7 linked regions of the Xenopus tropicalis genome follow. The main gene of each other region encodes a partner of the protein of the gene in region 2 in a complex. Links are inferred from orthologs where the notes say so. Each region holds a gene or a part of one and is shown on either strand. Other genes may lie near its edges.

Evidence for each region.
Region 1: prpf3 (region 2) and lsm4 share a complex: the UniProt entries of both Homo sapiens proteins name them as parts of the precatalytic spliceosome. The link is inferred for Xenopus tropicalis from reciprocal best matches to the Homo sapiens genes PRPF3 and LSM4.
Region 3: prpf3 (region 2) and lsm5 share a complex: the UniProt entries of both Homo sapiens proteins name them as parts of the precatalytic spliceosome. The link is inferred for Xenopus tropicalis from reciprocal best matches to the Homo sapiens genes PRPF3 and LSM5.
Region 4: prpf3 (region 2) and sart1 share a complex: the UniProt entries of both Homo sapiens proteins name them as parts of the U4/U6-U5 tri-snRNP complex. The link is inferred for Xenopus tropicalis from reciprocal best matches to the Homo sapiens genes PRPF3 and SART1.
Region 5: prpf3 (region 2) and ppih share a complex: the UniProt entries of both Homo sapiens proteins name them as parts of the U4/U6-U5 tri-snRNP complex. The link is inferred for Xenopus tropicalis from reciprocal best matches to the Homo sapiens genes PRPF3 and PPIH.
Region 6: prpf3 (region 2) and txnl4a share a complex: the UniProt entries of both Homo sapiens proteins name them as parts of the precatalytic spliceosome. The link is inferred for Xenopus tropicalis from reciprocal best matches to the Homo sapiens genes PRPF3 and TXNL4A.
Region 7: prpf3 (region 2) and lsm7 share a complex: the UniProt entries of both Homo sapiens proteins name them as parts of the precatalytic spliceosome. The link is inferred for Xenopus tropicalis from reciprocal best matches to the Homo sapiens genes PRPF3 and LSM7.

The regions. Positions count from the first base shown.
Region 1 is NC_030677.2:103,365,108-103,369,041, forward strand, and holds the start of lsm4 (U6 snRNA-associated Sm-like protein LSm4), read left to right. Parts: upstream 1-1,134; 5' UTR 1,135-1,160; coding exon 1,161-1,163; exon of another isoform or gene 1,164-1,176; intron 1,177-3,934. UniProt on the Homo sapiens protein: Plays a role in pre-mRNA splicing as component of the U4/U6-U5 tri-snRNP complex that is involved in spliceosome assembly, and as component of the precatalytic spliceosome (spliceosome B complex).
Region 2 is NC_030684.2:127,698,570-127,702,867, forward strand, and holds the start of prpf3 (U4/U6 small nuclear ribonucleoprotein Prp3), read right to left. Parts: upstream 2,801-4,298; 5' UTR 2,641-2,800; intron 1-2,640. UniProt on the Homo sapiens protein: Plays a role in pre-mRNA splicing as component of the U4/U6-U5 tri-snRNP complex that is involved in spliceosome assembly, and as component of the precatalytic spliceosome (spliceosome B complex).
Region 3 is NC_030682.2:61,893,525-61,897,577, reverse strand, and holds the start of lsm5 (U6 snRNA-associated Sm-like protein LSm5), read left to right. Parts: upstream 1-1,253; 5' UTR 1,254-1,370; coding exon 1,371-1,416; intron 1,417-3,343; coding exon 3,344-3,439; intron 3,440-4,053. UniProt on the Homo sapiens protein: Plays a role in pre-mRNA splicing as component of the U4/U6-U5 tri-snRNP complex that is involved in spliceosome assembly, and as component of the precatalytic spliceosome (spliceosome B complex).
Region 4 is NC_030680.2:38,861,957-38,865,954, forward strand, and holds the start of sart1 (U4/U6.U5 tri-snRNP-associated protein 1), read left to right. Parts: upstream 1-1,198; 5' UTR 1,199-1,266; intron 1,267-2,071; 5' UTR 2,072-2,272; intron 2,273-2,332; exon of another isoform or gene 2,333-2,419; intron 2,420-3,998. UniProt on the Homo sapiens protein: Plays a role in mRNA splicing as a component of the U4/U6-U5 tri-snRNP, one of the building blocks of the spliceosome. May also bind to DNA.
Region 5 is NC_030683.2:94,758,872-94,763,118, forward strand, and holds the start of ppih (peptidyl-prolyl cis-trans isomerase H), read right to left. Parts: upstream 2,801-4,247; 5' UTR 2,798-2,800; coding exon 2,732-2,797; intron 1,856-2,731; coding exon 1,791-1,855; intron 537-1,790; coding exon 513-536; intron 1-512. UniProt on the Homo sapiens protein: PPIase that catalyzes the cis-trans isomerization of proline imidic peptide bonds in oligopeptides and may therefore assist protein folding. Participates in pre-mRNA splicing.
Region 6 is NC_030682.2:96,972,807-96,976,761, reverse strand, and holds the start of txnl4a (thioredoxin-like protein 4A), read right to left. Parts: upstream 2,801-3,955; 5' UTR 2,788-2,800; coding exon 2,635-2,787; intron 1-2,634. UniProt on the Homo sapiens protein: Plays a role in pre-mRNA splicing as component of the U5 snRNP and U4/U6-U5 tri-snRNP complexes that are involved in spliceosome assembly, and as component of the precatalytic spliceosome (spliceosome B complex).
Region 7 is NC_030677.2:92,742,502-92,746,513, reverse strand, and holds the start of lsm7 (U6 snRNA-associated Sm-like protein LSm7), read left to right. Parts: upstream 1-1,212; 5' UTR 1,213-1,238; coding exon 1,239-1,244; intron 1,245-1,448; exon of another isoform or gene 1,449-1,463; coding exon of another isoform or gene 1,464-1,535; intron 1,536-2,307; coding exon 2,308-2,398; intron 2,399-4,012. Other genes in the region: sppl2b (signal peptide peptidase-like 2B), read right to left, coding at 433-480. UniProt on the Homo sapiens protein: Plays a role in pre-mRNA splicing as component of the U4/U6-U5 tri-snRNP complex that is involved in spliceosome assembly, and as component of the precatalytic spliceosome (spliceosome B complex).

The sequences.
Region 1 (3,934 bases), on a different chromosome or scaffold from region 2:
AATTTCTTTTTCCATAGATTATTAGCAACCCACATTAAATCTAATTGCTTGCCTGATACCCCAGGCTGGTCCTCCTGTTCCCTACAAAATTGCACTGGCTTAGGGTATTTCTAAAGAAGCTGCTCTTCACCATATTGTTTGACTTCTTTGTTCCAGTCCAGGCAGGCATATAAGCAGTAAAGTGAAAAACTGAGCTTTTTCGCCCTAACGCGCCCAAAGAAATGAAGGCAGAAGAGAAGATTGCACCAAAAGAGCTTCTTCAGAAATACCCTGGTCCAGTGCAGTTTTCAGCTAATAGGAGCACTTTCCCAGGGCATCAAGTAAGTGATTTTAATAAACAGGATTAATATTTTTCAAATATATGTCAAACCCAAAAATAATCTTTTTCCTAATAAAAGAAAACTTAATTCTAAGCAACTTTGCAATATACATTCATTACATATTTGTAATGGTTTTTGAGTTATTTGTATATATATACCAGCTATTAAAAGCAGTGTCTGCTTGTCCTTTTTATTCTCTACCCTGAGGGGTCTGGTGTTTGAAACAATGTAACAAACACCAGCAGATTTTACAGACCTGACTTGCTGGAGGAGCCTGGCACTTGCAACATTGTTTAAAATGTAACAACCAGGAGTTCAGCAAATGCTGCTTTCTATAGCATTACATTACATTTACAAATAACTTTTAAAGCACTAATAATCTTTAATAAATTGATATTGGAAAGTTGCTTAGAATTGTTTTCTTTTATTAGGCAAAACATTTTTGGGGGGTTGACATGTCCTTTAGCGCGCTGTGACTAGATATAATGAATAGCAGACTACCCTTCCACAACTACCAGAAACCACACTTCCCTTTGTTCGCTTAGTCATACTAATTTTAGAATACTATATAATCCCCTCTGCACCAAATAAATGTTTGTTTTTCTACGTCAGTTCCCTATAAGCAGAAACTACAGAACTCCTCTTTCCCTTAACCACGATGGCAGCGCCTTATGATCACATGGCCTGTTTATTCGACACCACCATTGGTGGATAGGACTAGCCCGATACTATTGGTACAGGAAGGTGTCACCAAAGGCTTCCTTTGCCCAACAGTCTCTGCGCTTGTTGTCTGAGCAACGGGCGGAAGTGACCGTGAGGGAGCGCGGTACAGAGCGAAACATGGCGAGTTACCTGGGTGGGACACGGGGTTTGACTACATTCGCCTGCGTTGTTCTTATAGCTAGAAATGGCGATATACTTGATTTGTGTGCTTACAATTTGGGCATGTTATAACCATTTAGTCTTACTAGTTTCTCTGTCACTCCTAGCCGGCATGTATGTTCCCGCCTGTCCTGTTAACTCATTGTTACACAGAATCGTCTCGGGTTTTTTTTAGTTCTATCAGGGTCCCGTTGCGGGCGAGCTCTGCAGCTTTATTTGTCTGGGTTAGGGAGAAGCTGGTGGAAGGACCTCTTGTGCAACATGTTTTCTTTAGATAATTGATTGGCTCATATAATCAGTGAAGGGGGATTTTTGGATACTGGTCTGAGAATTAAATATTTTACATATATTATAGGCAAACTATACCCCCTGACTGAGTACTTAACCAACAGATACATTATTTACTAAAAAGGAACCTATTAAAGAATGTTACCAAATTGGAATATATATTGGTTAATATTGGCCTTTTCCACATTGAGCCACCATTTAGTGATGGGCTGTGTGCTCCCTCAGAGATCACGTCAGGGAATAATGCAGCTCTAGTGTGTATTAAGATATTATTCATATCTTTTCACATTTAATTATAAGTTTTAGATTTCACTTTTTTGATTAACTTGTATAATTTGTGCTTAGTACAGGGCGGGCGGTTTTTCTTTGGGAGGCCCTGTAAGATGTATATTTGAAGCTTTGATATAGTATGTGCTTATTACAGGGCTTTAATGGTAACCCCGAAAAAGCTTTTGATATAGTAATGTATGATATATGCTTGTTACAGGGCCTTAATGGTAACCCTGAAAAATGTGCAAATTAAAAGTTTTGGGTATAAAAAGGGAAGTGACATGGGCATTCCTCTGATGAAGCACTTAGTGTGCGAAACGCGTTAGGAAGGAGAAAGGGTGCCAGGTAGCATGGGATGTACCTTCCATTTGGTATAGTATGTTTTATGTTATGTTTTTTGAATTTTGTATTTAAATTCTGAGCCAATAAATGGTTGTGTTTTTCACTGAATAATGTGTTTAATTATTGTATGGTATTTCAGGACCTTTCAGTGAGATACATCTTAGGTTTTCTTTCTCAATCTTACTAATTGTTATTTAATAATGCAGCTCTACCTGTAACAGGAAGAAATGTGGGAGTAAAAGTCAGAACTGTCCCCATTAATTGGCTCATGTACCCTAACATATATGTGTGTTTGTGTGCACTGTGAATCATTTCATAACAGGGGGTGGCCCTTAGTAATTAAAATGACTTTTTTTTTAACTTAGAATTATCCATGGTCACATACTGCTACAAAAGTATATTTTTATGAAAATTGTGTATTTTGATGAAGCAGTGCTTTAACTATGATCTGCTTTTTGTAAAATATTATTTTAGAGACCTGCATTGTTTGGGGGTATAGTTTTCCCTTGGCAATGTCCATCATGTGCTCTGAAAGTATGCATTTATAAAGAGTTAGTGACACAGCATATCATTTAGATTTTCTTTTTGAAAGGTCTTAGCAATCTTACTTTTTTAACTTACATCATGGGGCATTGTTCATTATTGGGTAAAAACAGATTACATTTTAAACATAATAAGTGAATGCAAAGTCCCAAATTAAAAAATTGTGCAAAAAGTCATGCATCTGTATTAAACTTGGTTAGAAAGTTCAGTAGTTAGTATAATAATAAGATAAGCACTACACTGGTTTTAATTTTGTTTCATATGCTTACTATTGAAGTGTGAAATTTTGGCATAAATTCTACTGTATGGTAATAGCTTTTATGTAATTAAGGTCAACAAGGATGCTTATTATTATTATTATTATAGTATTATTTATTATATATTATATTATTTAAAAGGACACATCATTATTGAAATAAAATAAGTTCTGCATCTTTAATAATGTGCCATCCAGCACACCACAGATAGCAAAATTGACAGTATAAATATGTTGCTTAAAACCTCTTATATTGCAAGTGTGTAATAAACAAGATAGGCAGAAATTGGAGTAGCATCATAAATAATTAAATGCTCCTTATTGGTGGGCTTGTTTCAAAGGGGAAGTTAACTGTTGCATTGGCATTAGGCATGTTATAGCTGGACCTGGCCAGGGGCTCTTCCTTTTTGGCTTTTTTCAGTCTGAAGATACAAATACTGTCAAGTTGTTGGGATCCTTGACCCTGGCAACTACAACAGATTTAATGTAAAGCTTTATTTTATTATTACAGGTCGTATTATTATTATTATTCCTTTCATCCCCCCCTTATTTTTACCTTGCAGTTTGATTTCAAAAAAGCTTTTTGATTCTTAGCATCCACATATGTTTTTGTTTCAAGCATTAGAATATCATTTTTTGCATAAAAAAAATTAAAAAAAGAAACAATCTGTGGCAAGGTGTAGCTTGTATTAGAATCCAGTTGTATATGCCTGAGTTAAAGTTAATCCTAAGGTCTCACTTTAATGACTTTAGTAAGTACAGAGTTTTGAAACCTATGTAAATGGGTTATTTTCTACAGGCCTCACACACTTGGGTCCAAAACACTGGTAAATTGACCTATTCTATCAAGATATATTGAAATTGCTCATTAGTTATGGCTCCGCTGGACTGCCTACACTCGTAGGCCCCTCTGCAACAGCAGGGTAAAAAAAAAGATGAAACAATGAAACAAATTGAAGGAGATATTGTCCTTGTGGAGGGCCCTAAAAAAAGCTCCACATTTGTTCTTTTGGCTTTCAGTCTGACAGCCTTG
Region 2 (4,298 bases):
GACCAGTAAATGCTATGGGTTACTGCTCCTGGGCAAACACAGTGCTTTTACTCCATAACCCCTCTAAAAAGCCTTGTACACTTTATCATGAAAGGCATAATGCTTTTTGTATCCTGACAGGTTAGTGTAATAAAGTCTACATTATAATTTGTTTGTTGGTCTCTAAGTGCCAGCTCATATCCTGGGTTGTCTCCTCAAACAGCAAGTATGGGCAACGTGCACCCAGGCCTCATGTTATTCTTGAGCTTCCACTAAACGGTGTTTTTTTGTATGTGGTCAGAATCAAATCCAAGACAAGGCTCTTGGAAGCAGCAAAGCTAACCCCCCATGCTGCCCTATATGTACCCCATTTTGCAAACAGACAAATCTAACAGATTCAGTTGTACTACAGACTGATATATACGTATAGACATATACGCATCTGCTTATATTCAGGAAACTTGCCAATGTTATTAATAAAGAAGATAGATAACAGACATATTAAACATGTTTTTCCTCAAAAAGTTTGGGCACCCCTTGCCAAATGGCATATGTAATTAAAGGACATGTCATCCCAAAATAAGTTTTTTGCCTAATAAAAGAACAAAATTCTATTCAAGGATTTTTGCCCACGTTTCCTTGCAGATCCCTGCAGAGATATTCTGTGGCCTGTGCTATGAATGTTTATGATCTACCAACAGGCTTGCAGATAAGTCAGGGGATTGTGAGGGCCATTCCAAAACCTTCAGCTTGATCACTGCCTTTTCAATTAGAAAAATTAACTTAATATGTATTTTGGTCAGGGAGGACCAAATGTTTGCATTCAACTGCATGCTGTGTCAGTGGGAGGAATTTAGCATTTGCCCAGAGAGGCAAAGTATCACTCTGTACCCACAGAGAAAAATTCATTATCTTTCTCTAACTTCATTTTAGTATATTCCTGCTAATTTTAGTGAATGTTACATTTACTATTCTAGTACTTTATGTACTTGTAATAACTCTATAGAAGTATGTTCCCCACTTCTTATAATGGTGGAGGGCAAGGAGAATACAGATTCGGGGGTGATCTTTAGGGAATGCCCCTTTGCTCCCCTAGTTAGAGCTAAAAAAAAAAAATTGATCCTATACAGCAAGATTTGGAATAAAGACTTGCTTACTAGCCCAAATATCTATGAAAATAAATATGAAAAATAGTTTTCCTATATCTGTAAAGCTATAACAGGTTTAGGGGCTAGCAGACAAAATGCTTGACCTCAAAAAGCTTTTTTTTAACCCAAAAGGAATTCCCATACTACTTTTTTATGGAATATAACCAACCTTAAAGGAAATCTATACCCACAAAATGAATACTTATCCAACAGTTTATATTATGTTAAGTGAACTATTAAAGAATCTCACCAAACCGGAATATATATATCAGTAAATATTGCCATTTTACATCTTTTTCCCTTGAGCCGCCATTTAGTGATGGGCTGTGTGTTCAATCAGAGATCAGTTGACAGGAAATAATGCAGCTCTAACTGTAACAGGAAGTAGTGTGGGAGTAAAAGGCAGAACTCTGCCCATTCATTGGCTGATGGGGCCTAGCATGTATGTGTGCCTTGGCTTGTTTGTGTGCACTGTGAATCCTATGATCCCAGGGGGCGGCCCTTAATTCTTAAAATGGCAATTTTCAATTTAGGATTACCCAATGGCAAATACTACTAAATAAGTATATATTAATAAAAATGGTTTGTTTAGATGAAGCAGGGTTTTACATATGAGCTGTTTGTGCAATATATTTTTATAGAGACCTACATTGTTCGGGGGTATAGTTTTCCTTTAAGCAACCCTCAGTAGCATCCTGGCTTCAACACATTTCTTGTTTCTCAATGGGACAGATTTTTTTGCAAATATCCTACTGGGGTCAGAATAGGTATGTCAGTGTGGCATGCAAAAATTTCAGCGATTCGTGTTCTCAGGGGGAGGTCTGTAGGAATGATCCCCCATATGTAATAAAAGGCACTAAATTTGCCCAGGAGCAGTAACCCACAGCAACCAATAAAAAGTATCCATTAAATGATACCTGTTGACTGGTTGCTATGGGTTATTGCACCTGGGCAAATTTAGTGCCTTTTATTACATAATCCGCATGTGTTTGTGAAACCCATGAGATACAATAAACTACAGCAAAATACAACCAGTGTAAGTCAGTGGTTCCCAGGCGGTGTTGCTGAAGCTCTTAGGGGGCCCAACTAAAGGGCAGATAGGGAAAATGTGGGAAGAATGTTTTACTCCTGGAAGGCCACTTACTATGACTGATACTCCGGTGGACCCCAGCCTAATGTTTGTTCCGACAGAAGGTCCTGACCCAAACCGGCCTGCCAACCTGCGGTGTAAGTGGTGCCTCAACTGAAACTCAAAGTTTGGTATCTTTCCCTAAACTGGGCTGCCCCTATTTTGCGCTTCATTATATGACGATAAACTGCACTAACGTAGCGCGAATACAGATACAACGATTGCCTACGTGGAATCGCACAGAACGTACGATCTGTAAATCTATCCCTGACAACACCCTCCCTCCCCCGCATCAATAGCTACTCCAGGCCGAGGCCTTTCAGGCCTACACCAGCCCAAACGCAATGTTACACAGCTTACACGCTAACTACTTCCCATACTCACCCACAGAGCCGCCACTCTCCTCTCTCCCTGTGATTTCACTACCCGGGGACTAACGGAGACCCGACGTCAAAACGGAACCGGAAGTCCTACGAGCATGCAGTCTGGCGCCCACTCTGACCCGCATCACGTGTCCGAGAAACCCGCTGCACGCTGGGATTTCTTTTCCCAATAACTTTATTAGCAACGCGCAATCTCCGCACAGATGGGATTTGGCGGGCTGATGTTACCCACGGAATACTATTGCTGAAGCTACAATATAGCCAAATATACAGCATTTAGCATTGTTCAGTACAAATTTTCTTCATAAAAGACTCTAGTAGAGAACTAAGACAATGTGTGATAGTGGCCCTGTTAAAGAGTAGCAAATACTGTCAATTTGGATTCTGGCCAATTCCTATTGGGGTGCTGTGACCTTAAACTATTAAAAAATAGCATTCAGGTTTTGTTTATTAAAAAGAAATCCCCCACAAAAGTTTGCCAACCTTTGGTCTAAGGGGCCCATTTATCAAAGTATGATCGCTTCCAAATACAAAAAAATCATATTTCATACTGTACGTATTTTCACCATTTTTTTGCTAATTTGCAAGACTTTTTTGTACTATGCATCAAAATTTACGTGACAAAACGGTATTGTCGCGCAGAGTACAAAAGTTTCGGATTCATTCAAGCTTCGGTATGGTGACTTTCCTTGGGTCAGGTTGGAGCTGCAGAGTGCCATTGAGCCCTATGGGAGACTTTCCTTGGGCCAGGTTGGAGCTGCAGAGTGCCATTGAGCCCTATGGGAGACTTTCCTTGGGCCAGGTTGGAGCTGCAGAGTGCCATTGAGCCCTATGGGAGACTTTCCTTGGGCCGGGTTGGAGCTGCAGAGTGCCATTGAGCCCTATGGGAGACTTTCCTTGGGCCGGGTTGGAGCTGCAGAGTGCCATTGAGCCCTATGGGAGACTTTCCTTGGGCCGGGTTGGAGCTGCAGAGTGCCATTGAGCCCTATGGGAGACTTTCCTTGGGCCGGGTTGGAGCTGCAGAGTGCCATTGAGCCCTATGGGAGACTTTCCTTGGGCCGGGTTGGGGCTGCAGAGTGCCATTGAGCCCTATGGGAGACTTTCCTTGGGCCGGGTTGGAGCTGCAGAGTGCCATTGAGCCCTATGGGAGACTTTCCTTGGGCCGGGTTGGAGCTGCAGAGTGCCATTGAGCCCTATGGGAGACTTTCCTTGGGCCGGGTTGGAGCTGCAGAGTGCCATTGAGCCCTATGGGAGACTTTCCTTGGGCCGGGTTGGGGCTGCAGAGTGCCATTGAGCCCTATGGGAGACTTTCCTTGGGCCGGGTTGGAGCTGCAGAGTGCCATTGAGCCCTATGGGAGACTTTCCTTGGGCCGGGTTGGAGCTGCAGAGTGCCATTGAGCCCTATGGGAGACTTTCCTTGGGCCGGGTTGGAGCTGCAGAGTGCCATTGAGCCCTATGGGAGACTTTCCTTGGGCCAGGTTGGAGCTGCAGAGTGCCATTGAGTCCTATGGGAGGCTTCCAAAAACATGCACAGAAGGTTCAAAGTCAGGTTTTACCGCCATTTACAATTGTTCGGATACGAAAATTTCGTGACTATCGGATCACAATTCGCAAACAATCGTTTCAATATGAAAATTTCGGAACTTTCGTATCGTAAGT
Region 3 (4,053 bases), on a different chromosome or scaffold from region 2:
ATTACATTGAGAGAAAAAGAAGTCTTTCCAACACCATCAGTTTTTATCCTTGTGGCTGCAGGAGCAGCATGCAGCATTCCCTTCCGACAGACGTGGTGTTGGATGGCAAAAGTTACTACCTCACGTTTTTGTATCAGTCATTATATTTTGACCCACGTGATTACCAATCCACAGGTAAGCCCTTGACATAATTATTTGCTCTTTATCTCAAAGCTTAAAAAAGGCAGCAGTTGAGAAAAACTAAATGAAGGCTTAGGTAAACAGAAGGTTTCTAAGTGATCTTAGCAGGAAGTTGGGAACTGGTTCTGGAAATTTCAGAATGTTAGGTTTCAAAACATTGAGTTTTAGTAAGCAAATGACACACTGTCACTCTACATGCAGAAATCTTGAAATTAGGTAGAAGTTTTAATGACAGTTACAAAAACTAAACTTTTTTGTAGCAGCAGAGACTTTGAATGAATCATGCTGAATTTTTAAAGTTTAAATACAAGTAGTTAAAAAAAAGGTGACTAATATCAATCATCTATGGCCCTCAACACTATGCTCATGTAATGTGCAGGAACCAAGCAAACTGTGCAGTTGTTCAACACCTTGGAGGGCAGGCAAGCAGCATAATGCCTCTAAAGTACAGTATCAAGGGGTGGCTTACAAATTCTTGTCCTCTAAGATAAAACAATATTTATGAGTTTTGTAATTGAACACTACCCTACAAAAAATTAAAACAGAAATATATAATTTTCTGGATAAAGTATATCCCCTATAAATGCTAATGTTTAGGTACAGAAGTGACTGCAATCCTTTCCCCTTTTAGTTAAACAAAACACAGGCCAGAGGTACTTTCATGCCTCCTAAGAGCTGATTCAAGCTGAGCACCTGCTACATACAAAAACATCTGAAAAAGTTCTATACTTCGAATGTACTCGTCTAAGTTGGCACCTGGGCCCCCGTAATTTGTTCTGTATTGATCGGGGCTCCTATTAATTTACCTAAACGTGAGTGGTTGAAGTGGATGGTTAATATGCTGTACAGAGTCCAGAGCTGCTGGTTATTCTACATCTGACAAAATACCCGGCCAATTAGCAATCGCAATGAAGCCAAGCCGATTTTTTGAACATTCATTATTCTGGCGCAACAACAACTTTTGCAATCATTGCTTTGAAACATTCTTCTAGCCACGCCCACGTCCCCTGTTCGCTCTCTTCCGCCATATAAGGCCTTTTTCTGCTCGTCTGTTGATTAATCTTCCCTAACCAGGAAGTTTTTAGCGCTTGCGCTCGACTGCATAATGAGATCGGCAATCGATTGCTCTAGGTAGGTGACAGCGGGAGATTACGAAAACAGGAGGAAATCCGAAGTAAGGAATATCAAAGATGGCGGCTACCGTGACTCCCAATCCGTCGCAGCTTCTCCCGCTCGGTAAGGACTCTAGGAAATATGTGACTAGATCTATTCCAGTTCGAGACCTTTAGTGTGCAGTTACTAATTGGCTTTTATCTTCAATGGCGCTGTCCTATTTCATGCGACATGCTTTCTTTGAACTCATATTTGTTGTAGAATTCTGATATGTATGTGGCTTACTAGGGTTGTGAAGTACAGATGTAGTGTACCTGGAGTTAGCACTGTTGCTTGGGTTAAACAGCACCTGCTAGGTGACGTGCTTTAGGTTATCGGGCAAATGATGGAGCCGCATGGCAGCCCTGCGTTAGACAATTTATATTTTATACTGAACCTTTTAATTGTAAGCAGATAAAAAAAGAACAGAATTATTTTCTAGTTGATTTTTAGTTTACCTAGGAAAACTGTACATCATTCTTTTCTTGAGAACCTGAGCTCTAAATCTGAGTTTTTGTGTATTTCCACTTCTGGAACAAGATTTAGAGCTCTAAAGGCAAATAAAAGAAAAAAAAAAAAATATGATTATAGGGATTTATACCAGAAAAATCTTTTATTTTATGGATAAAATTTCAACTTATTCAGAAAGCCTAATATCTCTTGAATGTGCCTATACTAGGTATGTATAATTTTATGGAGATGTCTGACTTCTATAGATCGAAAACTCCCAGCAGTAAGTTATTGAAAAAAGTGTTACAGCAGAATAGGGCATACTTTAGATTCCATAGCCAAAAATCCTGAAACATTAGGTTTACCCCAGGATACCATTTATATTTTTTAAAAGTGCACATTCAACCAAATCCGAAATAGATAACCGTGTCTTTCTACTCTAAATGACTCCAAGGGGCTGATTTACTAATCCACGAACGGTCCGAAAGTGTCCGAATGCGTTTTTTTCGTAATGGTCTGTATTTTGCGATTTTTTTCGTAAATTGTCGCGACTTTTTCGTAGCCGTTACGACTGTTTCGCAAATTGTTGTGACTTTTTCGTTGCGTTACGACTTGCGCGAATTGTCACAACTTTTTCGTAGCCTTCGCGCCGAGTACGAAAGTTTCGGATTCATTCAAGCTTCAGTATCGTGACTTTTCTTGGGCCAGGTTGGAGCTGCAGAGTCCTATGGGAGGCTTCCAAAATCATGCTAAGTCTGAAAGTTTTGCCCGCAGTTTACGAGCGCTCAATACGAAAAAGTCGCGACAAGATACGAGCAAATCGTAACGGCTACGAAAAAGTCATGACAATTTGCGCAAGTCGTAACGGCTACGAAAAAGTTGCGACAATTTACGAAAAAGTCGTAACGGCGACGAAAAAATCGCAAAAAATACGAAAAAGTTGCAAAATGTTCGTTTTCCAATCGGAATTTTTCCCATTTGGATTCGTGGGTTAGTAAATCAGCCCCCAAGTGTCCGAGATGAAATAGAAATGTTCATCTCTGATACTGGCTGCTGCAATAGAAGCACCCGGTATGTGTATTATGTACCATAAGACGTCCTAACAATACGGAGCCCCTCGAAAACCGTATATTTTCCGAAAGTACATATTTTTATTAAGGCAAAAATGGCTAAATACATCTTTCTACTGCAAACTACCAAACAAAACTATGCTTTTTTTCTTTTTTTTTTTTTTTATTCCTGAAGGTTTAAATCAGTGGTTTTCAGACTTAGGTTTAGTCGCCCTCTTTCCTTTCAGTTATGCAGCTTAAGATCCAAGTACATTCAAATACATTTTTATACTAAAATGTGCTTTTAGTCTGAAGTTCAAAAAATATTTGACAGGCGATAAGTATTTACCACCACAATTTAGAAACCTTTGATTGTTCAAGTTTTACTTTCAAACCTAATTAATATATACACAATGTAAAATTATTTTTTGTATTTTAACATGTATTTTTACTTTATTTTTGCCTTATTTTAAAGTGTATTCTTAATTTTTTTTTTATTTCTGATCTTGCAGAGCTTGTGGACAAGTGCATAGGATCTCGCATTCATATTGTTATGAAGAGTGATAAAGAAATTGTTGGAACACTTCTTGGCTTTGATGATTTTGTCAGTATCCTTTGTCTGCTTACGCTTAGTTTTTTGTTTATTGCTTCAGTTATACTAATTTAGAATGTACCAAAATAAAATACCGATTTACCATCAGCAATAGACTCCATTCAGCATTCTAGATCAGCGTTTTTCAACCACTGTTTGTGCCGCGAGATGTTGCCTGGTGTGCCGTAGGCAGGGCCGCAATTTTTACTTTAAAAAAAAAATCCGGGCCCTGTCATTGGTTGCGCCCCGTGTGTACGGGTGACGTCAGTACGCACGGGGCGCAACGTTATAAAAGGGCCTGTGTGCGGTCGCGTGTAGGCAGAAGTGCAGAGGCGGCGCGCGTGAGGGGAAGATGCTGCTGAAGCCGCCGAAGAGTAAAATGCTGCTGGGCACCAATGTATTAGGGGGGGCCACGGGGCACACTGACTTATGGGGGCACTGCTGCTGGGCACCAATGTACTAGGGGGGCACTGCTGCTGGGCACCAATGTACTAGGGGGGCACTGCTGCTGGGCACCAATGTACTAGGGGGGCACTGCTGCTGGGCACCAATGTACTAGGGGGGCACTGCTGCTGGGCACCAATGTACTAGGGGGGCACTGCTGCTGGGCACCAATGTACTAGGGGGGCA
Region 4 (3,998 bases), on a different chromosome or scaffold from region 2:
CAATGTTAGTGGAAAAAGACACCAACAAGCGGATGAACTGGGAAGGGGAAAGGAGACATAATACAGAAACGCTGCACTGACTTCTCTTTCAAAAGATACAGGATTTCTTGTCTGTTTGTTTTCCTGTGCCAGAGACACGCAGCTCTCTCCTGCTCCCCCCTCCCTCAAGAATGCTAAGAACTCTCTCCCCCCCCCTTAGGAATGTGGATCTGAGCCAATCAGCAGGAAGCTTCCTCATAGTCTTACAAACTGAGCATGTACACCGGTCTTGGTCTTGCTGCATGAGTGAGGCATTATGGGAACCTTCTTTACAGAGCTCAGTGCTTTTTCTTCCTGTTTGGCTTCTGATCTTCTGAACAGGTGAAATATGGGGAGACTTAAGGGCACTATTGAGACAGCTGAAGGTATGCCTGCAGCTTGAGATTAAGAAGTGAGGCATTATGGGAACCTTCTTTACAGAGCTCAGTGTTCTGATCATCTGAATGGGAGAAATATAGGGAGACTTAAAGGAACAGTAACACCAAAAAATAAAAGAACTTTAAAGTAATAAAAATATAATGCACTGTTGCCCTGCACTGGTAAAACTGGTGTGTTTGCTACAGTAACACTACTATAATTTATATAATAAGCTGCTGTGTAGCCACGGGGGCAGCCATTCAAGCTGGAAAAAAGGAGAAAAGGCACAGGTTACATAGCAAATAACAGATAAGTTCTGTAGAATACAATAGTGTTTTATCCGTTATCTGCTTTGTGCCTGTGCCTTTTCTCCTTTGAATGGCTTCCCCCATACTACACAGCAGCTTATTTATATAAATTATAGTAGACTTTCTGAAGTAAACACACAACTTTTACCAGTGCAGGGCAGCAGCACATTATATTTTAGTTACTTTTATACACTTTCATTTTTTGGAGTTACTGTTCCTTTAAGGGCACTATTGAAAGAACTGAAGGTATGCCTGCAGCTAGAGATTAACTCTTTATTAGCCTTTCCTTCTCCTTTAAATGGGTAGAGAGCAAATATCAATTGAGAAAATATAACCTTTATATTTAGGCAGAGTTACTGAGGGGCAACAAGCCCTACATGCCCTCAGTCCCTGGGAAATTTGCTACAGGTTCTCAAGATTTTGGGCACTAATAAGGCTGCTCAGCCAATATGCACAATGTTTTCTGCTAAATCACAGAGGTTAGTACTGTTCCAGAGAGGAGGAGCCGAAATACAATTAGTGCAGTGCTGTCAGTGCCATGTGTATATCTTACTAAATCTATGTATGTGCCAATGGTTGAACCTGTGCTTACATGAGTAAGTCTGTATGTCTGATTTATAAGCTCCACCAACACTACTTTCCCCCCTAGCAGGAATTAGGCTCCACATTTTCATTTTCTTAGAATCCTGGTGAGTGGATTGTGCTTTGACATGGTATCTAATTATAAAAAATCTTTTTTTCCACTGTTAGTAAAACTAGAAAGTTTTGATATTTCTAAATATGTATAGCGATTTTTTTAATACAGGTCATGTAACTCCAAGGTGATATATATTACAACAGGGGGTGCATTATTTATTATAATACATAAGTTCCAGTAACTCATGAGATTACATCACTGAGCGCTGATTATATCTGATTCATCACTAAGTACTGTTTATAAGGATATCATTTACAGGATATTTGCAGCTCTTGGCTCACACAGGAGTTCTGCGTTTCCTGCATGTTCACCTCCATCCAGTCAATGAATATATACTTTTAATGGGACACCATTAAATAGTTTGCCCTTGGCAGCTTCCACCACTGCAAAACACAACTGAAGTATCATTTACCCATCAGATATAGAAGACATTAGCATTGCTATGCCACTTTTACTAAGTGTACTTCAGCTACCAAAATAAATGTTAGTTCCCACTTTTTTGGGGAATCGCAATTACAATAACTACATTCATCATTTCCTTATTGTATTTATTTATACTTCTCCTTATCTATAGTTATATGGGGGCGTCAAACACTTCCGGATAACCGTATCGTTTGTCAAAACAAAATGTAATGGTGAGCAATTTGAATTCTTTTCCGCATTATTTCAGACAACAGAAAAAACCCAACAACATTTAGAACATAGTCTGAGCCAACCTCCGGATCTGTAGGAATCGGACCGTCGCATATAAGCGCGGTGAGAGGGTAGGGCGTATGACGTATTAAAGAATGCGACGGACAAATATTGTTACGTAACAACTGCGACGGTGGTGGCAGACATTTTGGGAAACGATACATACACGGCAACTAAAGTAAGAATAATAATTTGCACTGCTGAATGTTGACACAATGTAATAGGATGCGTAAAAGAAATTTTTCAGTTTGGTTGAATGCGTTGTATAGTTTAGGGAGTGAGAGGAGGCGGGAATATTTGCATTCGATCCACGGGGATTGCACAGGTACCCTTTCAACCAAAAACTCCTTGCTTCCAGTTACTTATCGCCTTCATGCTTTGTAAGCATGTCTTGTACGTACCTGCCTTTTTTATTCTAAGAGCTCGAATGATAACTCTGGCCCTGTTATGAATTCATCAGCCCTATGCTGAACATCATAATGCAGAATTTGCCATTTATCCTTGGATTCTCTCAAGAAAAACAAGGTTGTTATTAGATTTTAATGCTCAGGAAGGGTCTTGTTTAAAGGAGAAGGAAAGTTAAAATCTCTGGGGGATGGCACAGTATTGTAACAGAGCTTACCCCATTTATTGTGACCACCTAGATCAATGTTTCGGGGGCTACACCCTCCTTGTGCCTGGATGGGACGTATGTCCTGAACCCCCTCCCCAAAAAAACCATTGATCTAGGTGGGCACAATAAATGGGGTAAGCTCCCCAACGGCATATATCGTTGTGTGTGAGCGGCTCCCTTACAATACTATTTGCTGGAGACAGGGACCTGCCAGTCCTATGGAAGGCTTGCACCACCAGAGCAGTGGATGTGATATTTATACAGGTGTGTGGTGAAAATGATTGTGTTTGTATCCCGAGCGGCAAAATGTTAGGCACACCCCAGATATTAATGCCATCCCACCTGCTAGAATGTAAATCACCGGTGGGATGGCATAAGCGGTGCTGCGATTTGCCGAAGTTGCCTTGAGAGGAAACGTCCACGACTTCGGCAAATTGCGGTGCCGCGTATGCCATCCCATCGGCGATTTACATTCTAGCCGGTGGGATGGCATTTCGGGGAGATTAGTCGTCCATGACAAGGGAGATTTGTCTCGCGGCAACTAATCTCCCTGTCTGTCACAGCCCTTGGAGTAAAAAATAAAGAGCTTTTTGCTTTAAGTTTGGCATTTCATTCTGTTGCACATGTGCACCTGCCAAAGAAAGAAGAGAGTGGTGACATGATGCTTGCTTTTTTGTAACAATGTAGCAGAAGCCAACTGATAAACAGTTGAGAAGAGCTGAGTAGTTGCAATTGGAACAGACAAAGGCTACATTTTGTGAAATGATTTTTATGTTATAAAAGTAATAATTGCGTCTTGGAAAGTTCCTTAGAACATCAGTTTCTTTCATTAAGAAGATTTTTTTATTTTTGTGTTTATATCCCCTTTACAGTTGGAGATTGTATATTTTAATTTTAAGGAAGTGTTGTTTGATCACCAGAGGTGTGTGTTTTTTTTTTTTTAATATATAAATTACTAGGCATTTATTAAAAGTTATTCCTAATGAAAACACATTTTTTTGTATGAAGGTACTTACAGCATCAGTACCATATTCTCACGGGTGTTATTTATTTTCTAACTCTCTTTTGGGATTTTTGATCCCTTAACTAGCACCTACCTATCTGCCCTGTGTTGTCTGTCCACTAGCTATTTTCATCTTTTACACAGTTGCTTATGCTTGTACCTCACTGTCTTGTGTTTCCAGAACAAAATATTTATACAGAATATACCACTAAATAGCAAACCTCAAAGGTAATACGTCTGTTTTAGCTTTTATAATTAGCCAAGTCTGCATATTTTCTGGGCTGTATT
Region 5 (4,247 bases), on a different chromosome or scaffold from region 2:
GTAGAATTGCTATTGTTTCTACCTCTATATCCGATGATTCAGCCCTGAACGTCAATGGAGGGTATAAATAAACTCAGAACTAATTTGCAAATGCAATCTGCAGTAAATATTCTACTACCCTTAAAGCAGATGTCAGTATTACAGCACAGGTGCTAAAAATATCTGCGGTGCACTATTTAATATTTTAAAACAGTTATTGTCTTTCCTGTCAGGAAAGCTGCCATATTGCTTATTACGTTTAATTTCAATGTACTATTTTGAGTATTAGTTGATCTACAGAAAAAGTATTGTTGCTATTATATTCATAATCCCCCACCAAGCAGCCAATGGACAGTTTAGCTTCTTGCAGAATTTGCTACACAATGAATGAAAACAGAGAAGCACTGAAGCCAGTTTCTTAGAACTTAACTATGAGGATTTGTGGAAACAATTGTGCTTCAACATTTATTCCAGTCTACTCCCATTACTTAGATCAAACCCCCGATCGGGGCAAAAGAAGTACAGATACAAACCTAAATTCGCCAGTACAGAATTGCCTGAAATGAGAAATAAAGAATTATTTACAATTAGCAGATACTTTACCTAACGTAATCTGTTTGCACAACAATGCATTCCTGCATAGCACATAATGCATTAGTCTACAACAACTTCTTTTTGATATCAGAAATAGCCCCTTAGACTGATGCCACATGGGTTGATTCTGGCATCAGCTTTAAGCATCAGAAATGGGAAATTCATGAATTTACTTTATCCTCCATTTACTTTTACTTCTAAACACTAAAACTAAATCTCCTTCAGTGCAGGTGACAAATGCCCAAAGTTTCCTTACAACCAGCATTGATGTAAATTGCTGGTGAGAATATTAATGCCTGTGGGAAGGGACCTTTGGATGGTTTGAAAAAAAGAAACAAGGGGTGTAAAGTAGTGCTGTCAAATTCTTTTAGATGCAGAGGGCTGTATATTAAAGAACTTAGTTGTGATGAGAGAAACAAAACAGAAAGGAACTCTATGTGGATAATATATTATTAGTATAATTGTAAAGCTTTAAGCTATTTAAAAACTGTTTGCTAGATATAATACAGGTATAGGAACCATTATTTAGAAGTCCATTATCCAGAAAAATCAGAATTACAGGGAAAGCCATCTTCTATAAACTCCATTATAATCAAGTAAATCAAATGATATAAAGTGATTTCCCTTTTCTCTGTAATAATAAAACAGCACCTTGCACTTGATTCTAACTAAGATATAATTAATCCCTATTGAAGGCAAAACAATCCTATCAGTACTGTCTATTTTGTAGGCTCGACAGATAGCTGGCACATGGGGAGATGAGTCGCCCGCGGCAAAACTCCCTGTTCGCGGGCGACTAATCTCCCCGAGTTGCCTTCCCCTGCCATCCCATCGGCGACAATGTAAGCCGGCGGTGGGATGGCAGACGCGGCGAGGCGATTTCGGCAAATCGCCGAAAAAGACTCGCAAGTCTTTTTCAGCGATTTGCGCGAAATCGCGCCGCCGCATCTGCCATCCCGCCGGCGACTTACATGTTCGCCGGTGGGATGGCAGGGGAAGGCAACTCGGGGAGATTAGTCGCCCGCGAACAGGGAGTTTTGCCGCGGGCGACTAATCTCCCCGTGTGCCAGAGCCCTTAGTCTTACTGATCTAGTGAGACTAAAATAATGACAGCAAACATCTGATTGGTTGCTTTGGGTTATGGGCAGTTGCAAACTTTGTCAGTGTTGCTATATAACTACTCCAGAGTTTTGACAGCAAAAGTCATGCAACTTCACCTGAAGTTCTCTGCAGTTTTTGGTACAATATCTGCAAAAAGTTCCACCTTCATCCGGCCCACCTCCTGAAAAAGTAAATGGACATTAAATTAGTTTTTTTTGTGAAAAGACAATTAGCACATTGGTATTACAGTCATCATACCCTTCATGTTTTCCCAGAATATATGCCTTTCTTCACAGTTACACACAAGCAAACTAATTTGAAGTTGAATAGCATAAAATATAGCAATTACAAAACTTTAAAAGCTTACAAAATTAGGCCACCCAATGTTTTTAATATTCTGTATAACTTTAATTTAAATAAATGCAGAATAAATAGGTATAGCAACAGTTTGCTTGAAAGAACAACTTTTTCAAAGACACGGAATGGACAAATTAGCCCTCATGTTGACACATTTTCCAAAATGTCTAGTTTCCATGTTGACTTTTTTCCATACATTCTAAGGATAATATTCAGAGCTTTCCAAGATGATCTTTTTTCCCCTAATTGGTTTGATCAGCCGTCTGGTGGCTTTACAAGTTTTGTTTTGGGCTCTCTTTTGGGGTTCACGCCCAGTCTTCCTTGGGGGCAGGGTTCATGAATTGGGATGCCATGAGAATTTTAGAGTTCATATTTAGGGATTTTCTCAGGGCTTAGAGTGCATGTTTAGGACCATCAGTAAAGTTTTAGGGTTTAGAGATCGGAAAGAACAGTGGGGCCCATACACGTGGAATACAATTTAAATACATAATAATTTCTGCTATGAATATAAAAATCTGTCCTTCAGTCACAGTACACACTTAGCCTTCTTGCTAATACTACACTACACCATGCAGCCCCATTTGCTCAGCTGCAGTTTGTAGGTGGTGTTGCATGGCGAGATTCTTCTCAGTACGTAAGTATGGAATCATCATTTAATGCAGGGCTTTCTCAATGTATTATACTTAACACCGCGTGTTACCTGCCCCCCGATACTGATATCGAAGAATACGATGGGATTGTTAGCGTTGGAAGCCGGTACCGCCATTTCTATCTGGGGCAAAACCGGAAGAGAAGAGGCGGCGCTTCAATCCCAGAAGCGGCTTGCTTGTAGGCTGTATGCGCAGGCGCAGTGCATTGTTTTACACGCTTTATTCGCATGAAGTTGGTGGGCGATGCGATATGCCTGCGCTTCTAACCTTGCAGGGGATTATGGGAGAGTGGCAATAGCAGTACGTTTACGCGTGACTAAACCTGATTTACTCATTGACATATAAGCAGTACAGAGGTTTAGTTTTGGATGGAGTGGAGTTGTAGCATTCACATGTTCCGTGCAATTAAATTTATTTCTGTTGAAGCTATCCATATCTGTAAATATCCATGCTGTCTGCCTTGCTCTCACATCAAGCAGTGCTAATACAAGCGCCTCAGCGCTCCACACCGGAAACGTCTTTTTTTTTAGTTCCTATTTCAATGTGGCCTGATCACAGCCGTGATGCTGTGTGGGCGAGAGTGCGTTTATAACAGAGCTCTGCTTCTGTGTGGGTGTATGTGTGTATTTATGCAGTAGGTAGAATTATGGTTACCTGTGGCTGCTGCACATAGGGAACACACCAAATCCCCTCTGTATTCTGTGAGGAGAAGGGAGGTTTTATTGTTTGTATATCACTTCCCATAAAATCTCCCTCTCCACTGGCAGCTTTGTTGCTGTTTGGCCTTCAAAACTATTCCATAAATTCAAAGTACAGGGAAATCAGGTTTCCCAAGAAACTGATATGGGTATGAAACCTGGGCCCTAACAAATAAATTGACTGGGGAATAAAGTATATCTAAAACCTAAAAAGTTAATATAAATTTGTCAGTGTCCTCTTCTAGTCACATTTGCATTTTACATCAATTATTTTTTAAAGCTTTTAATCTGCTTATAAACAGCGCCGCCTACTGGTCAGCTCTTACAACCATACAGCTGAGTGAGTATACATTGAGAAGGAAAACAGATAACTGTTCTGATGTTAAGGTCCCCATACACAAGGCGATTTCACTCGTTGTGCGACGAACTATTATATCGACAAACGATCGTATGGCGACCGGGTTTCCATACGATATGCCATCCACAGGCAACGATAATTTGCAATTTTTACAATCGTACATCTACGTACGATCCAATGTCGTGGCGGAAGCGGTATTTATTTATTTATGTTCGTTGACTTCCGCTGCTGGCAATCATGACATGCGCAGAGAACAATCGTTCGAAGACAAATGTCTGACACTCACACCAACTGGCAGATTTTATCATTAAACGACTAAAATTTTTAAACCTGGCCGATCGATTTTGGGGACAATAATGTCGGGTCGATTAGTGGGCCGACGATCGTTCGCACACCATCAACTATACGATAACTTAACGATAGTATCGGATCGTTCGGGAATCGGTCGTTTGACAGTAAAAAATCGGGCCGTGTATGGGGGCCTTTACTCTGTTCAGGAAAGACATAAGA
Region 6 (3,955 bases), on a different chromosome or scaffold from region 2:
TTGGAGCAAGGTAGAATAGATTTTTTACTTTAGTACTTACTTTTTTTTTTACTTTTAGTGTTACTTTTCCTTTAATCATTTTTAGAAGCAATCAGATTAATCAGTGGTTTTCATCCAAACAGACCCCCCCCAAGGATAAATAAAATAAAAGTGATTGACTTCTGAGGATTAGAGTGTTTATTTATGTGTGTTGTGAGCATTACACAACAGCAGAGCTGCTAAGTTCTCTGGAAGCAATGCCACCAAGGGTTGTTGGCCAATCAGAGGCAAACAAAACTAACAGCATAAAGTGTGATTGCAAACAAAAGTTGTAAATGCCATCGCCACTGGACTTCAGAACAGTGGAAACACATTCTCTGGAGTGCTAAATGGCGGTTAAATACAGCTTGACACAGTTCCCCAGAAAGAAATTCAAAACTCTCAATACAACTGTATAACATTTTTACAGTTATATTTATTAAAGGGTGAGTTTTTATACAATGATAACTAATAACTAAAATGTTAACTAATCTCTAAAAATCCAAAAATAAATAAAAGAGCTGTGAAGGAGAAGATAAAAACACTGTAGTGAAGGAATACAGCACTGTACAGTCTGACTGGTAAATGTTAAAACATAACTTGTAGGAATAAAATACAAATCATACTCCCCCCCCCCCCCCCCCTTAAAAAAGATCCTTCAATCACATGGATAACTTTCTTTCACAGGCAACAGATATTAACCAAATAATGCAGCTAACTGTGCTGTCACTCAGCATCTGCCTTCATCATGACCTAGCAGGCTAATATTTCATACCAACACTGATGTAAGAACAGTCTTAAAAAAGCATAAAATATTTTGTAACTTAAAAAACAGCAACAGCCAAAAGCTTAGATACAGACAGAACACAAGTCAGCATAACAGAAATGCATATATGATGCACCATTTATCACTCGGAGCATGATCTAGCCATGTGGTAATGCACTAAGCACCTAGCTTATCTCTGCACCAGAAGAAATACCTTCAAAACAGCAGTTACGGCACCATAGATGAGGTAACAAGAAACACCATAATCAATAAACAATTTCCACACACTTAAAGGGGAATTAAACACCCCAAAAAGCAAAATACTGTACAACTGCTCAGAATACTCTTCTCAGCACTTTTACTATTTACACTGAACATTTTAAGATATAAGCACTTTGCAATAATAATATAATTTATTTGAAACCACACAGCTCCCTACTGTTCTGATCAGCTGGCCATCATAAAATGATGTTACTGAGTTACTCAGTAGGCAATATCATTGACCAAGGAAACCTCTCTGCTCAGTAACTACCTTAACAGAGCACTGCAGTTTTAAATTCATTATATCAGTGTACATTATAAAAGTGCTCAGAAGAGCATACTACCAATTTTACATTAATTTCTTTTGGGGTGTTTAGGTCCACTTTAACATTTATATTTTTATGTTCTAACTAAAAATGTAGGCAAATACCAAAATAGATATATAGTAATAACATACTTCATCACAAGATATTCGATTAATGGGCCCAGTCCTGTGATCTTCAATCACCCCAGACAGTAGACCTCGAACGCAAATACAGCAAGGCAGTGTATGTGCTTTGGGATGCCTGTGAAATAACACAGAATATACAGAATCTCGCCTTTTCTATGTTTTTTCTTTATTTCCAAACATGAAAATACTTAATCTTTGAGGTTCCATATGTAGAATCATTAGCACTCACACAACATTGGCCAAATTTGCCTTTGGGCAGTTACCCATAGCAACCAATCCATGATTGGCTTTTTCAGCTAACTGCATTTAGAACAATGAATGCAACAACTTGATTGGTTGCCATGAGTTACTATTCAAGAGCAAAGTTGCCCAGTGTTGATAAATGACCCCCACCGTTCTCAGAAAACATATGAACAAATATTCCAAGGGGCCTCAACCTACACAGCACCCTTACTTGATGGAATGATGTCACAATTTTTGCTCTTCTACCCCTCTCTCTAAACTAAGGCTCCCTGTAATGATCACCAACTAAACTGGTAAAAGAAATGATCCCCTTTTTATATAGAATAATTTACCACTAGAGCATTTCCTAGTTATTTTCTCTTAAATTTGCAAATGTATTTGAGTCGTGCATTAGCCTTTACTTTCTTCATCCTAAGTTCAAGCTGAATATGCTCCATACTCTGTTTAAAAGCGGCATCACCATAACCCTCTGTCTCCTGGTTGTGACTTTAGATCAACATGTTTCCTGTAGAGCTCCATTTTCTTATTTACACTGCTATTTGGTTAGTAGGGGTGTTGACCAAAGTAACCAGTCAGTGGTTCCAGTCACTGGCTTGAAGATAAATAGGAGAAGGCCTGAATCTATATTAATATGTATGAAAAAGACCCACTCCTGCCAAACCATTTTTAACTATGCCTTGAACCAGCTAGAGAAATCACACATGTGGGGGGTCCCCACCACTTATGTCCCCAAAGGGGGGGGCAGCTGCTGGAGGAATGCTTAGAGGCAGGTGTAGGGGATAAGGCGGCAGGCCCATACATACAGGCATCTGGACCTTCTACCTGCCTGAACCTTTTTTAATCCAAACCCACCTGACCTGCAGGTCTTCGATACACTGCTATAAATATATCTTACCTTTTCAGCTATACTGTACAAAACTTCATCCATCTTCATACAAGTTGGATCCCAGTCATGGCCAAAACGTATAACTAAAACTCTGTCTTCCTCAGACAAGATTGCCTGGTCGACCTGCCAGCCATTGTGCAAATGAGGAAGCATGTACGACATTTTGGCAGCTTTGCTTTAAAGCTAAAAGGACAAGAAAAGAAGTATTGCAAGAAATGAAACACTTTTCTCAAATGCGTGAAGATACAAACATACTCCCATCTACACTGACAGGCTAACATGCTAATACTTTCAATTAAAAATTATCTGGGCAAATTTTAAATATTTTTAATGGTTAAAGAGTCCGAAGTATCCCCCAAGATTATAGTTTACAGATGAGGATACAAATTGTAGCGTAATGCTGCTCGTAACAATCCGACATGAATCTGGGAAATGTGGGGCTGCAGTAGAGGCAGGGGGATTGCCTGAAGGCCACTTTGGGTGAGTATTGGTGCAAATTCATGTGAATCAATAGCAAGCTCCTGAGTTATACCAACAAGCTGCCCCAAAGCCTTATATATATATATATATATAGGCTACATACCACCCAACTGTGCTGATTTAACTAATACAGTCCGCAGTCCCGTACGGTTGTTTAAAAGTCTTGCGGTGCTGTTGCCGTGTAGCCCCTCGCTTCCTGCCGTACAGCGAGCCAACGCACCGCAAGTCTCATCTCGCGAGAAGGTGACGTCACATCAATACTATAAACGTGGTTACGCAGCACGTAGCTGCCTTGAGGCCAATGTCAAAGGAAGATGGAACTTGAGTTGAACATGTGCTGTTTCTTTTCTTTATATGCACAGCCCAGTAGCTGCAGCTAGAGCCTATGCCCCAACAGAACCTTTAAATTAACTAGATTAGACTAGACTATTTAAATTTAAATAGATTTAGCTTATGCCAGGCACAGGGAACAGAGAAATAAGGCTTTTAAGTTCCTGGTTGTGGTCATACCCCCCCAACTGTCCCGCTTTTTACGGCGCATCCCGCTGTCCCGGATAGTTCCATGAATGTCCCGCATTGCGGGACATTCATGGAACTATCCGGCACAGCGGGATGCGCTTGCTGTAGCCAGATGTTCTTGCTTCTTCTGCGGCTTCGTTATGCCTCTCCTTGTGCAGCGCGACAGGCCCTTTTATAAGGTTGCGCCTGTGGGTGTGACGTCATTACGCACGGAGCGCAACCTTATAAAAGGGCCTGTCGCGCTGCACAAGGAGAGGCATAACAAAGCCGCAGACGAAGGCTGCGCCTATGGGAGGTACTGTGTATTGGGGGGGGTACTGTGTATTGGGGC
Region 7 (4,012 bases), on a different chromosome or scaffold from region 2:
CACTTGGAAGTATTCATATTCTTCAGACAGAAGAACACAAAGTAGGGCCTACAACAGACCCTATATCTCAGATATCAATACTGGCTCAATCAGGTCAATTCGTAGCAGGAAATATTTATTCAACAATCTATACGAATTTAATGACTGTCACTAGGAAGCCCGTGACAGCAAACTCCAGTTAAATATTTAAATACTGCGTATAGGAAGCTTCTGGGGATCAGCAAAGCGTGTGTACACAGAAAAAGTCAGGAATTCGGAACAAGGTGGAAAATCATGGATGGGCGGGGCTTTCAGAAGGTATAAAAAAATTAAAGTGAATTTTCGAAAAACAGCAGCACCTTCAATATACAGGTGGCAATGGCGAAAATAAGGTAAATAAAACGCGTAAAAATGATGTTCTGCATTATGAAAATGTAATTGAATATCACTCACCTCTGTTACAAACAAACCCCATAACAGGAAAATCAAAAGAAGCTTCATTTTTCCAGGTCACGAGCCTTAGCAAAGCAACACTCAAACCGCCAAGCACCATTTGTTAACTGTTACTCAGCGCCATCTCCTGGGCCTGCGCACTACATCCAAGTCTTCAGGTTATCCTCCCATTCGCAATGTATTAGTGACAGGTCCCAAAGGCCAAGCCCCATAGTAGAGCAGTTCAATAGAAAGCTGTAATGAAAATGGTAGATGACTACAGGATGTGACGTAACTACGCACGCTACACGCCATATTTGTTTATGGAAAAGTGATTCCAGAAAAAAGTGAAAGGGTGAAAAAAAAAAAAAACGCCCGCCCCACAGGCATAATATTTTTTACAGAGTGTGGGTAATTCAAAATGACTTAATCCATCATATAATTTTGCGATTTGTAGACAGAAAATAAGTTACCATTCACAACTATTTATTAAATTAGGGTTATACACCTAGTCACGGCGACATTATAATTGTCGAGGGCAGTCAATAAAGCTATTTAAAAAAAAAGAGAAAAAAAAGTAGACTCTTCCAAACCAGTTAAAGTCGTAGGGGGTGTGAATGAAATTCCTCAGTGAAAATAAAAAATACATAGCGAAGCACTTTCTTAAGAAAACTTTTAACGTGCTTAACTAGTTTAGTCTAGTACTTCATAAGGATGGAAGAGAGAAGTTAGGAGGAGCAAAAAAATTAATCATAATTAGGTGTACAGGTGCCCCCAGAGCTGATTAAAATGGGTACGCCTGCCCCTAGGAACAGAGGCGCGGGAAGATGGCGGTGAGTGTGTAGAATTTAGTGAGCTTTCGTCCGGTAGAGTTGGTCAGTCATATATAGTGGATTATGGAACGTTTTTTCTTTTTATTGCGTAGCGGGTACCCATGATTAGAACATATTGCTAAAGACTGTAAAACAGTGGGAGGTGATTAAGAGGAACCGTAATTATGCGTCCTATCACATCCACTTAAGACGCCGCGCACGCGGCAAAGTACTCATGCGATGAGGTATATTCGCAGCCGTGTGTTTCTTCTTTTTATGAGCTGGGTTATCCAAAGTGTTGTATATAAAGTGGTCAGTAAACAACTCTTAATTATATCCGAATTAAATGTAGTTCCAGGGAAGGAGAGGCAAGGAGCCCTAGGAGAGTCATGATACAGATCTAATGACAAACTGATCAAAACAATTGTTTGAATGGTGCTCCTTTCCCCCCCCCTCTTAAATGAAGACAATACCCCCCATACATTGTAGGTCTCTATAAAATATATTGCATGAACAAGCTGAAATGTAAAACTCTGCTTTATCTAAAACCATTTTCATAAAAATATACTTTTTTTTTTTTTTTTTTAAGCAGATTGTGCTATTGGGTACTCCTAAGTAGAAGATAGCCATTTTAAGAATTAAGGATTGCATAGGATTCACAGTGTACAAAAAATGCAGAGACACACACACACACACATGCTAGGTCACATCAGCCAATGAATGGACATAGTTTTGTCTTTTGCTTCCAAACCTTTCCCTGTTAGAGCTGCATTATTTCTGGTCATGTGATCTCTGAGGGAGCACACAGCCCATCACTAAATGGTGGCTCAAGGGAAAAGATATAAAAGGCCAATATTTACAGATATATTCCAGTTTTGCGAGATTCTTTAATAGGTCACTTAACATAACCAAAAGATTATATTTGTTTTTTATTAAGTATTCATTCTGGGGGTATAGTTTTCTTTAACCTTATCTGAGCTTTAAAACTTTTGGAGCCATATTTTCTCAAATCCTCTTACTATATAGCCTAGTATTGCTCTTAGCAGCTCTAAATGTATAAACATATTTGATTGTTTTTCCCCAGGACAAAGAGAAAAAGAAAAAGGAAAGCATTCTAGACCTCTCCAAATACATAGACAAGGCAATTCGAGTAAAGTTTCAGGGTGGAAGAGAAGGTATGCTTTCTAAATGTGAATTTCTAAAGAATTCTACTTTGCCATGCATTCTTAAAACAATTATTACTACAAAGTACTGCTACTAAAGCTTTGCCATACGTTATAAGATTCACTTGTTTGACAAGGTCGCTGAATGAGTGTGTCTTTCACTGATATGGACCTTAAGGTGGGCAAAATTGGGCTGATTGTATCAAAATTGTCTCTATGCAGGCAAGTAACTAGGACTACAGCAATCACAGATGTAGTCCTTGATTCAACAGGAAAATCAAACCTGCAATCTACATTTTGTCTGTATACAGTATGCTACAGTATGCAAGACGTGGCAGTTATGCTGTAGCTTAAGTACTTGAATTACTTCCAGAATAGTTGCTGTGTGCTACAATTTCAGAGATAAGTTAGTAACTTAGGTTGGAACATATTCAGAACATATTCAACCTTTTATGTCTAAATGAAACCTTTCTAACTGCTAATTGCTCCAGTTTTGTAAATTCCCACTATTGTTATCAGATCACATGAAAAATATGCACATTTTTAATAAATCCAAATTGTTAGGGCTGTTTATTTGCAAAGTGATTGCATTTTAATTAATGCAGCTGGATGTTCCTGACTTGTCTCTGATTTTTCAACTTTAGGTCTTCTAAGGTAAAGACCTACATTTTTTCATCTGTGCATTTCTTTGCAGCAAAAGATACTATCCTTTATTTTGTGCAATAGAAAATGGAGAGAGGTGCTGCAGGGGTTGCTTCCTCCTTAGGCAGCAGGGCTGATGTTCCTTCCCCAACCACCCTCACTCTTTTTACTTTTGTGCATTGCTTCCCCTGGTAGCCTGCCATACACTGCCATTGGTTGGCAAGTTTCTCACATATTAGGCACCCACTCCTAGTAAGTATAATTACTAACTTTCAAACCCAAGCCAGTGCTCCTCCAGCCTGGAGTACATTCCCTGTAAGTGCCGCCATCTTTTATCAGTCTTCCAGGATTTTTTAAAACCCTGCTTCATCTTCAGTAAACCTTCATCTAAATAAATGGTACAATCCAAAAGTTACGAAATTTTCGTATCCGAACGAAACAATCCGGCGCAAAAAACTTTCTGACTTTGAACCTTCAATGCATGATTTTGGAAGCCTCCCACAGGACTCAATGGCACTCTGCAGCTTGAATGAATTTCAAAACTTTTGTAGTCGTTGCGATAATTTCGATTTTGTCTCACAAATTTATTCAAAGCACAAAAAAGTTGCGGAAATTAACAAAAATATTGTGGAAAATACACAAAGTTCTATAAATTAGAAAAAATACAAATTTTTTGTAATCGTACCCATTCAGACTTTGATAAATCTGCCCCAGTGTGTTCACATACTTTTTTTGTGTGCGCCACAATTTGTTGTGTGTGTAGGGCTTAAAATGTATGTGTGGATCCTCCTCCAGCTCTAGGTAATTTTAATAAACCAAGTGCATTTTTCATTTTAAATATTTTTATTCAAATAAAAAATCTTAATGTATAGCCAATGCATAGGGAAATGTAAAGGGAGTGATTCTTATTTTAAGGGGAACACCTTTTATTCTGGTTCTCAAAATTATTGTCCAGCAGTGCTAGCAGGAACTTTGTATATAAAT